Arabidopsis thaliana: one gene and its partners. The protein of the gene in region 3 interacts with the protein of the main gene of each other region in a pairwise test. Each region holds a gene or a part of one and is shown on either strand. Other genes may lie near its edges.

What was found. The genes of interacting proteins can lie anywhere in the genome.
Region 1: the proteins of AT5G23280 (region 3) and PLDBETA2 interact in binary tests that used the Arabidopsis thaliana proteins (3 or more experiments, as listed by UniProt).
Region 2: the proteins of AT5G23280 (region 3) and NF-YC8 interact in binary tests that used the Arabidopsis thaliana proteins (3 or more experiments, as listed by UniProt).

What each region holds. Positions count from the first base shown.
Region 1 is NC_003075.7:105,695-112,872, forward strand, and holds PLDBETA2 (phospholipase D beta 2), read right to left. Parts: upstream 5,312-7,178; 5' UTR 5,025-5,311; coding exon 3,837-5,024; intron 3,482-3,836; coding exon 3,365-3,481; intron 3,295-3,364; coding exon 3,100-3,294; intron 2,854-3,099; coding exon 2,605-2,853; intron 2,450-2,604; coding exon 2,381-2,449; intron 2,292-2,380; coding exon 2,144-2,291; intron 1,838-2,143; coding exon 1,689-1,837; intron 1,515-1,688; coding exon 1,338-1,514; intron 1,256-1,337; coding exon 1,058-1,255; intron 980-1,057; coding exon 686-979; 3' UTR 556-685; downstream 1-555. UniProt on the Arabidopsis thaliana protein: Hydrolyzes glycerol-phospholipids at the terminal phosphodiesteric bond to generate phosphatidic acids (PA).
Region 2 is NC_003076.8:9,940,114-9,943,428, forward strand, and holds NF-YC8 (nuclear factor Y, subunit C8), read right to left. Parts: upstream 1,335-3,315; 5' UTR 1,187-1,334; coding exon 623-1,186; 3' UTR 556-622; downstream 1-555. Other genes in the region: AT5G27920 (F-box family protein), read right to left, coding at 1,950-2,195, 2,283-2,577, 2,660-2,789, 2,886-3,285. UniProt on the Arabidopsis thaliana protein: Stimulates the transcription of various genes by recognizing and binding to a CCAAT motif in promoters.
Region 3 is NC_003076.8:7,841,036-7,845,192, reverse strand, and holds AT5G23280 (TCP family transcription factor), read right to left. Parts: upstream 2,587-4,157; 5' UTR 2,177-2,586; coding exon 1,424-2,176; 3' UTR 544-1,423; downstream 1-543.

The DNA.
Region 1 (7,178 bases), on a different chromosome or scaffold from region 3:
TTATTATCCGTACGGATTTTATGAATTTTCGGATCGAATTCGGATCGGATATTTTCGGATTCGGATAATTTGGATAGAAAATTTATTATCCGTTCGGATTTTACTAATCTTTGGTTTGGTTTTTGTTCGGATAAGTGTCGGATTCGGACCGGTTTTTAAAGAGCTAAAAATTGTTCAACTTAAATAAAAATTGGTTTAATCTTTACTAAAATTTGGTTAAATTTTGCAAAAGTATGTATACTATTAACAAATGTAACTAAAAGATTTCCAATTTCTTTATTATTTAGGATATTTTGTTATTTATTATAAAATTACAACTAAATATAAATAATATTTTTGGATATATATATTTTTCAGTTTTCGGATATCCTCTCGGATTTCGGTTCGGATCGGATTCGGTTCGAGTAATTCGGATAGGAGAATTCATTATCCATTCGGATTTTGTAACTATTCGGTTCAAGTTCGGTTCCGGATCGGTTTTCGGATTTCGGATTTTATAGCCAGGCCAAAGCTTTTTCATGTACATGATTTCTTATTCTAAATAGAATTAGGATTAAGTAGCTTCTTTTTACTTGTTATTCAAACTTGAGGAGAAACATCAAACTTTGTTTATTTACAAAGTCTGATCAATTGTTGTTTGTTTACACATATAAGGTCTTCTTAATAAATGCGACTCTGCTTATGATTAGATAGTGAGATTCTCCTGTATGGCTAGAAAGGATCCAACAACGTTTCCTCCGACATCAGGGAACTCCTCACTTCCTGGAAGTGGTCGGACTTTGCCTTTCCGATCAACTTCCACCGGATATTTCATCAGATGTCCTCTCATCTCCGACACTTCCTCACTCCTAAACTGTTCCCAGTTCTCCTCCGCCACTGTTCTCACTTTCCTTACACACCCTAGACTCTCTGGCTCCACAAAGCAATCATCTAGCAGTGCCATGTGTTCTGCCCAAAGCGACATTCTATATCCGTAGATCTGCAGATTATGTACCAAGTATTATTGATACGACTAGGACTATGAAACCATGTGTGTACTATCTTTGTGTGCTATTACCTGACCCCGAGGACCTGACTGTCGTCGTGCCCATGTATGTTGAGGCTGGTAAGCTCCCATTGCAATCTCTGTATCTCTTGTCCCCTCCATTGATCTTTGGTTTATGTTTGCAGATCCAATTACCACATACTCATCATCAACAACCATCCCTTTTGAATGAACATATATCATAAATCTTCTGCTCTTTCGACATAATCCCTATAATACAGTTTCAATCAAAACTCATCAATCAATGACGATAGAAACCGCATTAGCAAGTCAAGCAGTTTGGTTTTGTTACCTGAGGAGTGTTCTCGTTGCTTGCACTTCCTGTACCCGATTCATTATTTCCGTTCACCATTTCTCGGTTTCCAAGACAGAAGAAATTCAAATAGTCTTGTGGGGAGTATTCATCTTCAAGCCCGGCCTCCACTAACGCATTGTAGATAGTTCCATACATCATTTGCATCGTCTTGTGCTGCAAAGACGATAACTATGACATTTAGTTTCACAATCTTCTAGTGTCTACTTAAATGATCATTGACCAATTTTTGAGGAAATATTAAGGGAAAGATCATGATATCAATATTGTCACATGGACTAAGACAGAGAAGGTTAACGGTTTGCAAAGACACAACTTCACTAGAATTACCTGCCAATATAGAATTCTTTGTGTAGCGGCGCCGGTAGGAACTCCTTCTGGCCACATTGGAATGACAATATATGCAGCAAACCGTTCCTTTGCTCTGATCTTATCAGCAATCTTCAACGCAATTTCCATAGGAATCAGGTTGTTGGCACCTACATGACCACAACATAGAATAAACAACCTTAAAGAAATGACCAAGGTTGTCAAGACCATTGTCTTAAGTTGAGAAAAATACTGAGAATAGTGCTCAACATTTTAATACCAAAGAAACTGAAATGTCAAAACCACAAGCAAAAGAGTTACCACAGACGCAGCTAAATGCACTGGAAAAGTGATAAAAACAATGTCTCTGTTCTGTGTATTAATTCATGTATATATACACACATTTTGAGAAAATTATCGTAATCTTGAGTTTTTCCTAATCATGAGCTCACTTGAAAAAACAAAGACAAACAAACCTATGTCCTTGTGAGCATTCCAGTCGTAGGAGGATCCAATGAAATACTGGTTCTCGATGTAGATGAAGTGTTGAGCTGCACGAATGGCCTTTACATATGCGGTGTGTATGCTCATGTCAATGAGCACATTCTTACCGCACACCAAATTCTGTCCAAACAAAATCCCTCTATCCATCAATTTCCAAGCCAACCAAATCATAATGACAGCACAAAGTTTCTTTGATTTTTTCACCTCACCTTGCTTGTAGCATATTTTGGATCCTTTGGAAAACCTTTCACAGAGTTTGAATCGATTGACCGGAAAATCTGATTTACAAAACCAGACAATTATTAGCTTCAGAAATTTGGGACAATATTTGTGGACCAAAGTATAAAATTTGCATGGTTCAACTGAGAGATGGGCATCTTTCCATGGACTTTGTGAATTAATCAGAACCAAACTTTAATACAATGGTGCGTACCTGAACATGCCAAGCCTCGGGGTCGTTTGCACTAACAGTAGGAGCATCCAAAACTCTTAATATATCTGGAATCCTGTCGATCCTTAGTAGTGCATCATCATATGACGTCTTCAATTTATTGATTCTGTGAGGCTTAGCAGCCTTCAGCCACCTCTCCTCAAAATTTGTCAGCACATCATACGCAGCTGGGCCATCAATCTTACTGTGCAAGTCATGCCAAGGTTCTCTTGGACAACCGGACACGTTACCCTTAATTACATTTTAGTAATCCAAGTCAAGGCTTTCCCATTCAGAACAAAAGAAACTAGCAACTAAGAATTACTTAGGTAATCACCAAGAAGAACTTGAGAAGACAGACAAAGATTGAAGTACCACTTAATAAAGTTAAAAGCAGTATGTTTTTCCACTGCCAAAGGTTATTCCTTGCTATAAATTCCTTAAGTATTCGACACCAAAGTTACACTAATATATATTTAGAAAGGCAAGCAGACATACCGTGAAAGTGGGGTTGTGATAGTCACCATTATGATCTGTTTGCAGTGTCCTAAACAACGGATGTTGAGGAGTATCATATCGGCCATCACATAGATCAAGCCCGCCCACAAAAGCTACGATTTTCCTTCTGTTACCCCCAGCATCGGCATCTACTATTAAGTTTTTTTGGTGGTGTGTATAGATGGTTCCAACTTCCTGATGGACTAAAATATAAATAGAAGCCGGATACCACAACCAAAAAAAAGACCAAAAATTCATGTTCTACCCTCTGTTTGACCCAACTATGTCGCTTTCCAGCATTTCGAGGGCATAGCAAGACTTGCACTGAGGAGTCCTTGAAAAAACGGCGTGTCTCCTCGTCATGGGTTCCCATAACCCCATCCTGTTCATGTGAACAAATTGTGTCAATACCTAAAACATACATGAATAACCATATCTAAACTATGTCATCTAAGATACATATATCTCTATCTAGTTGCAGGTTTCTGCGTGAAGCAAACATTTCTCATACTTACTAGATTCAAACTGAAGATTAAACCCACCAAAAAATTTCTGGTCTACAAGGAAAAGTAGGCTAACAAATAAACGGAAGGAACCTCAATACGACTTGAAGAAGCCAAAGCTGTTGACTTCCGAGACTCTAAAAGATGTTCTGGTTCCTACCCTATATAGCCTAGCTAACATATGCACTTCACAACCAATAAAGAAGTAGGGACTTGAGGTTTCCAGTAACTTACGGTCATGTATCCCAAGATGTTTTGTGAAGTTGGGTCGTCCCAAACCAAAAGCAGGACTCTCACACCTTCTTGGGACTTTGATCTTAGGAGCTCACCTAGTCTACATTCTGAAGAAGGATCTTCTTTATCCCGAACAAGCCTGACATTATGCCACACTGACCAGCCTGTAATATAAATCAAACGTCTAGCTTGACAAATGGCATGAAACATATCATGCCAACACTTTCCATGTTCGTAACACATTCCATTTCCGAGTTTTATTCCCGGGAGCATCCCTTCAGGTACATGTGCATCTTGGTACAATGTGACACTTCCACCTTCCCTAAGAGGAAAATATGTTCCAGGCACCCCCTGGTAATAGGGACCTGCACCAACTCCGCTGTGATAAACACTGAGTTTATTCATTGAAGTATACTGAATCGACAATGATAGAGTTGCCCCTGGTTTACAAGGCTTTCCATTGCTGTCTCGAATGGAGTAAGTCCCTTCAATTCTTGCACCTGAGTAAATTTGTTCAACAGGGATTGTAACAATTCCTATAAGCTGTGAACCGACGGCATCACTGTCCTTAACAACAAAATGGACCTCGGCAGCGTGATGAGCTACAGGGACATAAAAATGCTGCTGCCAGACAGGATTTTCGCTGTTGCTAATGACATATGTTCTTCCTATGACAGCACCAGCGACTGATATGGACACGTAAGGATCACTAGTGATCTTCTTGCTCAACTGGCCTTCGATCATATTGGTCATGCCACCAAACACAACACCCAATGTCTTATGAAACAAATCTAAGTTTGGTAGATTATTAGCACAAGAAACCCAAATATCCAAATTACCATGCAACAAGAGGACCTTCAAGGAGGCTTTACCAAAGGGCACAATGTGCATACCGGGACTATGCGGCGATGCGGTAGATGTAAAACCATGACCAGACGAATCTAGCCTGCCTGAGTATGATAAATCTGAATGACTTGAAAACGAAGCATAGTAACTCACTGGAGGGTAAGGAGGAGGAGGTTGGTGTTGGTAATCAAAAGAAGCATAGTAACTCATTGGAGGGTGGTGGTGGTCTAATGGACCCGAATGAGACATTGATCCATGGTGATGAGGCGGTGCTGGGTAAGGAGGATTAGGCCGCGGAGGCCTGTAAGGGTAATAAGGGTAATTCCAACCATAATTCTCCATCGTAACTAACTAACACCACAACTGACTAATTCATAAAGAAATTCAAACGTCTTCAACGTTTTCTCCGATCAACATTTCTTCATCAGAAGCGAAATTTCAAAAAAGCAACAATGGCGGTTTGCGAATTGATCAGAAGAGAGAGATATATAAGTACATTCGGATCACAGCGGAGCTTAGTTCCAAGGAATTAGGTGAGACTTACCTTCGCTGAAAATGGAGGAACCGTTGTAAAATTTTGATCATCGCTTCTTCGCTTGGGGGAAGAAAGAGTCTCTCGATTTTGATTTTATTGGTTTTGGTTTTGGTCAACTTAACTTACTATTGCCGGTCACATATTTCCACTTGTCAACCTTTTTTTTTTTTTTTTTTAATATATATATTATTCTCTAAATATAAATAAAATATATAACATTATGACTTTTAGTTAAAAATGCATATTAGGTAAAATCTCTATAAATTAATAATTTTAAGATTGATAAAATTTATTAATTTGAAGAGATATTAATTTATAAAGAAATTTTACAAATTATGTAATTTCTTATAATATTCAATCAAAAAAGGTATTTTTTTTCTTTTCTTATAATCAATAATATTTTTGAAACCAATTACAATTATTAAACAATTATCAAGTTTAAAAACCAAAACTAAATTTTTCGATTTAGTAAAAATATTAGAATTAAATTCTACAAAGAATTAATACAAATTGAATACTATATTCATATTTTAGTATATATCTATATATATATATATATAAATTAGTGAATTTATAATATTGATGGGACCAAATATTTACATATGATTTTCACAAAAAGTTATTATTTTATTAATTTATCGATTTGTATCAATTCTTACACTGGTTTCAACTCGGGATTGAATGAATTTATTAATTTATAAAGTTTATTAATTTATTGAATATTAATTTATAGATGTTTTACCTAAGACCTGACGGTTTTATGGGCAACATACAAAAAAACAAAAAATCCAAGATTATTTTGAAAGGTTTTAAAATTTAGGGCCAATTATCGTTAAAATCAATAAAATTGGGGCCATTTTGTAAATAATTTTTGTTAAAGAATTTGAAAAAAAAAAAATGGGCCACACTAAATGTTTCATATTGCTTGGCTACCCCTGCATAAGAGTTAAGACAAGTACGCGGACTAACAAAGTTCATTTTCTTGTTCAAGTATGTACTTTACTGTTGTTTATTTTTCTGCAGCTTCACAATATCATAGTGCAATTCTATAGCTTTCTTGGTTATACATAACAATATTGATATTAACCATTCAACTTCTTCTACGTGAGGAAGATATCTGTTGAAAATCACACTTTCACTCTCAAACTACCTCTTCCAACATTCTTTTGAGGTCAGCACTCTCACTCTCTTGTCACTCTGTTTTGCTTTTGTTTTCTTTAGAGAGAAACAAGAACACGTTTAAGAGCATGATGTCTTGATAATAAAACTTGGGTGATTCTCTTACAAGATACAAACACACATACTTATTATAGTTTTACTTGAAACACTTACACACACAAGCATGCTCTTAAACGCATAATTAACTCTGATTTCTTGCAAGCTACTCTACTACATATTGGGACTCTAACAACAAGCATGCTCATAAACACAATTTATGTTTCTTTTTATTTCCTCACCTACTTTGCAGTTTCAAGATGCAGAATCTCTTAATTTTTTTATTATAGACATAATAACTTCTGTGAAAGATTGTAACTAAATGTATATGTTTTATTTTGGTTGCATTTGGTACTTGAGAAAGAGGAACTAGTGTCACCAGAATAACTCAAACTGCACGTAATTATCATAAACAATAAATATACAATTTACAAACATCATTTCAGAATCCATTTTGTTTAATGAGGTTGAACCTATCACCATATAAGCTATTTAGAACTCTTGTTGAATATGTTTGTGAATCCATTCTATTGTGTGTTTCTTTGTTTTGTAATAACTCTGGTCATGAGTTTTGAGTAGAGAGACATTAAAAAAAGAAGCACATTTACAAAATCCTAAAAGTTCATTACAACCATCGACCAAAAGGTTTGTTAGACAACTTATCTTAATCTTGTTATAGCTAATTCTCACACGAGAATCCAAAAGACTAAAAATCCATAAACGTAGATAGAAAGATAAACCCTAAG
Region 2 (3,315 bases), 2.1 Mb from region 3:
CTTATGTAAGTATACATGGGAAGACATAGAAGAAGATAGAGATAGAGGGGAAAAAGAACCAAACTTTAGATCTGGCCACAATCGTTAATTTCTATGCAATTGAAGTATAAAGAGGAAGAAATAGAAGAAGATCGGCAATAAATAAACGAAAATCAATGGCTTACCTTACCAGATTCGTCGGCAAGGGGAGGATCAGAAATTAATACTTGGATTGCTAACGGCGACAAGAACGAGAAGAAGGTTTCAAGGAGACAATCAAGTTCTGGGCTTGATTGAAGAAGATGAGAGTAACCGACGGTGAACGCAATCGCCAACGACGGCGCTAGATTTTGGGAGGATATTTTGCGGTGTGAAGAAAAAACAAGATTTTTATTTTCTCATATATTACTTTTGGTGCGAGAGAATGAATATAATGTTAGCTTCTGAATATTTCAAATTTCAAACCGAGAATCATCACGCTCCCAAATAGTGTATTGTCCCCTCAATGTCTAAGGTTATACATGTAATAATACATGTGTTTCCGACAGAACATTGTATCTCATGGCTATTTCTTTAAAAAAATTAGATCCATGACTATTTACTACATATTCCCTTGAAAATACCCTAAAACGTATTCCACTTATTAGTTTCCGTCGTCACCTCCTTTTTTCCCACGCGCTTCTTCCTCCTCACCAGACACCGAGGTCCAAGCTCCAGGCCATGCCTGCATTTGTGGTTGTGGTTGGTGGATTCCAAGACTACAACAAACAGGAGTTCCAATTACCATTCCTGGAGGCAGCTCTCCATCGTCAATAGGTGGCATGGCCACAGGATCAGCAGCGGCGGCAACAGACTCTCTCTTTACCTCAATGTCATCATCAAGCAAGAAATCAAAGATAACAGTTTGAGCCACTGCGGCATCGACATTAGATTTCTGTAGCGTGACTCGTTTGCTTTCCTGAGCATGGAGCCACGAACGCATCGTGAGATCCATGATAAACATCTCACATGCTTTCGAGAGGAGGATTGGAGCCTCACTAGCTATCATAGTCACATCCGGATCATACTTCATAATCTTCTTGATACGAGTTATAGGAAGGTCGTGATTTTTGAAATCTAAGTTACCTTCCATCTCTTTTGACCAGAAACTCTTCAGTTGCTCGTTACCTTTCGGTGGCAGCTGGTTGTTGCCGTTGTTGTTCTCCATAAGATTTTTTTCTTTTTTGAAGTTTCTAGTGTTCTAGGCTTGTTATTTTTTTATTTGAAGATTTGCATATATAAAGGAAAAGCTTAAGCATAGATTAGATATGGTGGGATAGTAAGCAGGTAAACTTTTACAACAATGAATCTTAACGCATTTAGTATATTGTTAAGAATATTTAATGATATTAACATTATTTGTTTGACTAACATTATTTGGTTATTATTATAAGAAGAAAAAAGAAAGTGATTTATTTTTACTTAAAGTGTATATATTATACCAATTAATAGTGTTAGAAAAAAGAAATAAAGTAAATACAAAACTATATTTTCTCTATAAAATTGCAAGATAATTTTTTGCTGTACAAAACTTATTTTGAATTATTTAGTTAAAAAATATGTTTTCAAATGTTAAATGTGAAAGCATAATTCATATCATTGCTCGAACACAAAGGAGTTACATGTTGCATCTGATTGGTTTAGCTTTCTGTTAGACTTCAAAAACATATGATCATCAGTTCATCACATAGATCTATTACACATCAACAACTTTCTAACTAGAAATCATTACTTAAGCGTTGTCCGATCTTTTTTACCGGTTATAGCAAAATATTTTACCGCAGCAATTCACTTAAACCGATTCATTTATATGGATCCAAAACAAACCGCTACTAAAGTTTCACTGATTTTTAACATTGAGATTATAAACATCAAAAACCTACAACAGTATAAACTAACCAACACAAGAAACCGCGTTGTTCTTTATGTTTTCAGTCCCATCTAATGCGGCAACCACGAGCATGAAGCGTCTCGAGCAATTCCGATGAGAGCAAGAATCTGAGAGGTGCGAGAAGTTTAAGCTTCTTGAGCCTATTGCAACAGGCTCTTAGAGCAAACTCAAACCCTTCTACAGTCACACGGCTCAGATGAACTAAGTCAACGTCTTGAACCCGACTCAGATTGCTCATCAACATGCATAGAGCCGTATCAGACACCGAGCAATTGCACAAGTTTATCTGCCAAACAAAACACACAACACAAGAATCAAACATGTTTCCAATAGATGCTTCCAGATCTCCATCTATAAATGTTATTTTTTGTACCTGTCGTAGGTTTTTCGAGAAGTAAGCGAGCGCCCAAAAACCCGAATCATCAATATTCTCGCAGAGTTTAACGTCCAAGTAACCCAATTTCTTGCAGCCGGACGCAATGGCTGCTAAACCAACACCGGTTATATTCTTTAGCCCTCGAAGTTCGAGGTGACTTAGAAGTTCTAGCTGCCGGATTTGTTCAACCCCGGTGTCAGTTAGTTCACAGCAGTATGATAGAATGAGTCGGTTCAAGCTCTTGCAACCTCGAGATAAAGCTGCTAAACCATCATCTCCAAAACCGGCACAGCTGCACTCAAAAACCAGAAATCAGTAAGAAAACGAAACATGTCTTGCACATTTTTCATCAAGAATCCACCAAGAAAGTGTACCGGTATAGATCAAGTTCTAGAAGCTTCGAACATTTGGAACCAATATGGAAAATCCCTTTGTCTGAGATATTTGTGCAGAGTCCAAGTTTCAATCTTTGAAGATTCGAACACTTCGAGATATATTCTAGCCCTGCGGTCCCAACGGAACAAAAAACCGTAAGATACCAAAGATGACAATATCTAAAACACAAACGGAGGTTTGAGTTCACATATATCTTTCTATTACCTCTGTCATTTACACCATAACAGTCAGTAAGATCAAGTTCTTGAACAAGCATGGAGTAACATCCAAGCGATTGAAGACCTTTCTCAGTTATCAAATGACAAGACTCTAACTTTAAAGTCCCTAGATTCCGGCAAGACTGAGCTACAGCAGAGATGGCTACATCCGTCACGAATCCGCAACACGCCAGATTTAATGTTTTCAGGTTTAAGCAGTTGCGTGCAAGACTTATCATCCCAATATCCGTCACATCAACACATCTGCTCAGTCCAATCTCCATTAAAGATCTACAGCTAGAGCTTAAACTTACAAGAGAGGAATCAGAAACATGAGCTCCATCAATCCATATAGTCTTGAGATGCTTCAAACCTTTGATGTACTTTAAGAAGCTACCAGAGACTTCCTGTGAATCACAAAGATTAGCAGAGAACAC
Region 3 (4,157 bases):
ATAGCTAAGTGTTAATTACTAAGACCTAATTAAGAAAGAAAAAACACCAACTTTTTGTTAAGATCTTTCCATTAATGGATTCTTATTTTAATGAGAAAATTTGTTTGATTCTTTTGATTGGTTAGTGTGACCTAAATAGTCTAAAGAAGCCTATCTAATCACTTTGACATTTATTCATCAGGTATTATCGTGATAAATAAATTATTGGTTAAATACATTACTCAGCAGATATATAGCTGTGAAAACCACAAACGAAATCATTGAATCTATGCTATTTGTACCTTAAATATACTTTGCATAAGAAATTATACTATATCAGGGGTTAAAATAAAATTTACTTTTTTGATAGTCCAAATTATTACAACAGTGAAAATGGTTTTTGCCAAAATTAAAACAACCATTTGAACTCATGTTCGAGTGTATCACCCACATTTTTTTAGATAGCTAATCTCAAACAAGAGAAGAGACAATTCTAACACCTTTAATCTTTCAAATTGTAACAGTTTCTAGAACAAAAATATAGACAATTAATTTAAAGATATCATGTCGCCATATAGTTTTAACAGTACTTAAATTTAATATTTCTCTGACTAACGTGACAAACCAAACTTCCAAAAGCACAGTACAAAGATTCATATGAAACAAAAAGGCAACAAAATTGAAGAATTCAGACACAACTGGTTTGTCTCTTTTTCTTACTAAATCCTCTGTTCAGTTCTTGCATTAAATCAAGACGCGAAACGCCAAAAATAAATAGCATCTCAAAATCCACAATTCATACATATATCCACTAAAAAAATAAGAGATTATTATGATTCTGTTCAAAAATCCATCATCCGGTTCGATTTCAACGAAACAATCACTATCACATAAAGCTTTTTGTGTATCAATAAATGCAGAGAAGGAAGGAACAATATGAATTCGAAACATTTATTAGAAATAAACGTGGTTAACAGCTTACGCAAATGCTTCACCACAATTGTTGTAACACATTACACAATTAGCAACAACAACAACAAACCATATTAAAACATTTAAATATATATCTGAAATTTTAATCGACGGCTCTGTTTCACCGGAAAAAAAAAACAGACACAAAAAAAAAAAGAGGAAAAGAAACCACCGTGGTTTCTGAAATTTTCCCTTTTTTCCTAAAAGTAATCTTGGATCCGATAAGAAATCGATCTCCCTCCAAAAAAACAACAGATTCTTAAACCCTAATTTAACCCTAATCAAAAACAACCGTCTTTAACTTACTTAAAGCTAACGAAAACTCTCAAATCACTTGCAGAGATTCTGAAACCAAATCAATCTCTAACAACACTAAAACACACACATAGAGAAACAATGACAACAATAGAGAAGAGAAGATAATAAATATATATACCAAATTTTGCCCTCAAACCTAAAAGGGCTTAAACCATTAACGTGGATCTTCCTCTCTTCGATCCGACCCGGGAGATCCACCGGATAAAGAAGCAAGCAAATTAAGATGACCCGGAAGATAATTCCCAACTCTAGCAGCAGAAGCTTCACCCATTGCAGCTTGTTGTTGCTGTTGCTGATGAACAAACAATGGTTGCTGATGATGATGTTGTTGTTGTAAAAACATCTCTTGTGGAGCTCCAGCAAAACTCCAAACTTGTCCAAAATCCGGCCTCGCCGGAACAGCCCAAAACCCAGCTGGTGTTGTCGTAAAGGTCTCATCTTTACCAACAGAACTATGATTATGACTATTATTACTATCCTCATCAGCTCTAACACGTTTCCCAAGTATAAACGGTGACGTACCACCAAGTAAAGAAGTGGGTTTATGATCTAAAGAAGTAGAATTGGTGGCTCCACGGATAGAGACAGAAGCAGTTGAGAAACTCGCTGGAGTTGTACCAGTTCCTGTTGCAGCTATAATAGAAGGCTCTGCTTGACGAAGTAACCATTCAATTGTTTGGCCATCTGACTTATGACCAAGCTCTCTCGTTAGCTGAAAAACACGAGCAGCACATATAATCGGCATACGGATTCTTCTCCCTCTTCCATCGACTTTGCTATGTCGATCTTTCGCCGGTGGTTTCTTCACAACGACTGATGGTTGTTGTTCGATTAAAGCTCCGTTTGATGAGATCATAAGACCATCGTTGTTATTGTTGTTGTTGTTGTTGTTGTTGTTAATAGACATGGTTTTCGATCTGGGTTTAGTGTTTTCTTTTTCTCACTTGGCTTGTGATTACTCTCTCTGTGAGAGAAGAGAAGAGAAGAAGCTAATGATTGAGAAGGAGGGAGCTGGTGGAGACAGGAAGGAGAAGCACATGGGTGTGGTGGGGTCCTTTTCACACAGCTCACCATCTCTGGTTTTTTTTCTCTTTTTTTTTTTGCTTTTTTGAGAGGACATTAGTTTTGTCCCGACGCGGTGGAGCTCACGCGCGTTATTACTCCGGTGAAGAAGAAGGTCGCGTGGGGACCAAACTCCGGCAGGAGAATTTAACACTAGGTAGGTGGGTCACTCCTCCGGCTGCTACGTGCATTTAAAGAGACATTTATCCTTTGCCACGTCATTATATACATTATTACTAACTTACTATAAGCTTGAATTTGGAAATTAACACGAAGATACTAATCTTATTTAAAATACATGAAACTAAATGTATTGAAGTTGGTCTCTCTGTCTAAAAAAGTTTTTTTTTGTTTTTAAATTTTTGGGACCAACCTAATGTGGTTATTAGATTTGGGCTAATGTGAACATTTGTTTTGTGATTACGTGAAAATTAATCTTTTTTAGAAAGCTGTTTCCATAAAACAATCGAAAAGATTGAAAAGGAGACAAATCAGTGAGGTAATTGATTGGTAAGTAGACTTTGACATCAAAACTTAATTGAGTTATAAAACAATCAAAATTTAATACTAGTGTTTGTTCTTTTTATTTATTTGTTTATAGTATATTGGTAATAATATTTGCCACCAGTTACTCTGCCGTAAATGCCAGTAGCCCAGTATCACGTGTTTTACGTGAAATGGCAAAAATCGAAACCCTTAAAAATTATTCAGAATTCTTTTGTCGACATCACAAAAGAAAGTTACCTGTAATTAGTTGAGTTTTGCCAACTAAAATACCCAAAGACATTTAAATTAATAGTACTATAAATTAAAAATATTATGGTTTTAATGTTATTAATTTATAGAGGTTTTACTGTATATAATATAAATATATATATAAAATAAATGTGTGTATAAAATAAAAAGAACGAACATTAATTTTAATAACTCCCATTTTGAGACTGACATTGAAAATAAGTGGATTAGTCCACTTGTCAGATACGCAAGATTTTCTTTATGTCGTTCGTCTCATCGCAACGAGATTTTCTTCACATATCGTGACAACAATTTATTTTATGACTTATGCTGAGTTATGCACCACCAAACGCTAATATTTGTTTTAATTATTTTCGTACTCGTACCCCCTAATTAAATGGATTTTCTTATCGTTAATTTTTAACATTCTTGTGAGCTAATGCAAAAAAATAAATGCAATCATGAGCGATATGGCATCATGTCGGCAGTTTTATAAAAAGATTGTGTACCTTGAACTTTTGATCCTTTTTTTTTTTAATCTAAAAGATTTCGGAATCCATTTTTTGTGTAACTATAAACTTGAAACCTAATCTGATACAAAATGTTGTGGAGTGAATAATAATACTAATTTATAAATCATGTGAATAGTATTCACTTGTAACAAAACAAAACAAAAAAGTAATTAATATTGGATAATGGATGATAACAATTGTTTGTTCGAGATTGACTTGATGGTTGATTTAGTTATGTTACAAACAAAAATAAATAACCAATTTAATTTCACTTCTAAGTTTTGGAAACAACTGATAAGATATGATATGGTAGATAAATTCAATAATTTAAAAATCGCTATCCAAATGAGAATGGGTCAAATTTGGGTTATTTTAAGTACAAATAGAGAGAGAGAGTTTTTTTTAATAATCTTGTGAAGTGTTAGAGAATTTTTAGTAGCCGGAAAATTATAATAATTTTAAATATTTTAACAATTCAAACGGATAATTTGGATACTCTTAATAATTACTCGACATGTATCTTTATCGTAAAAAATGATCATTTTAGTCTAAACAAAAAATTTATATTATTTTTAGTTC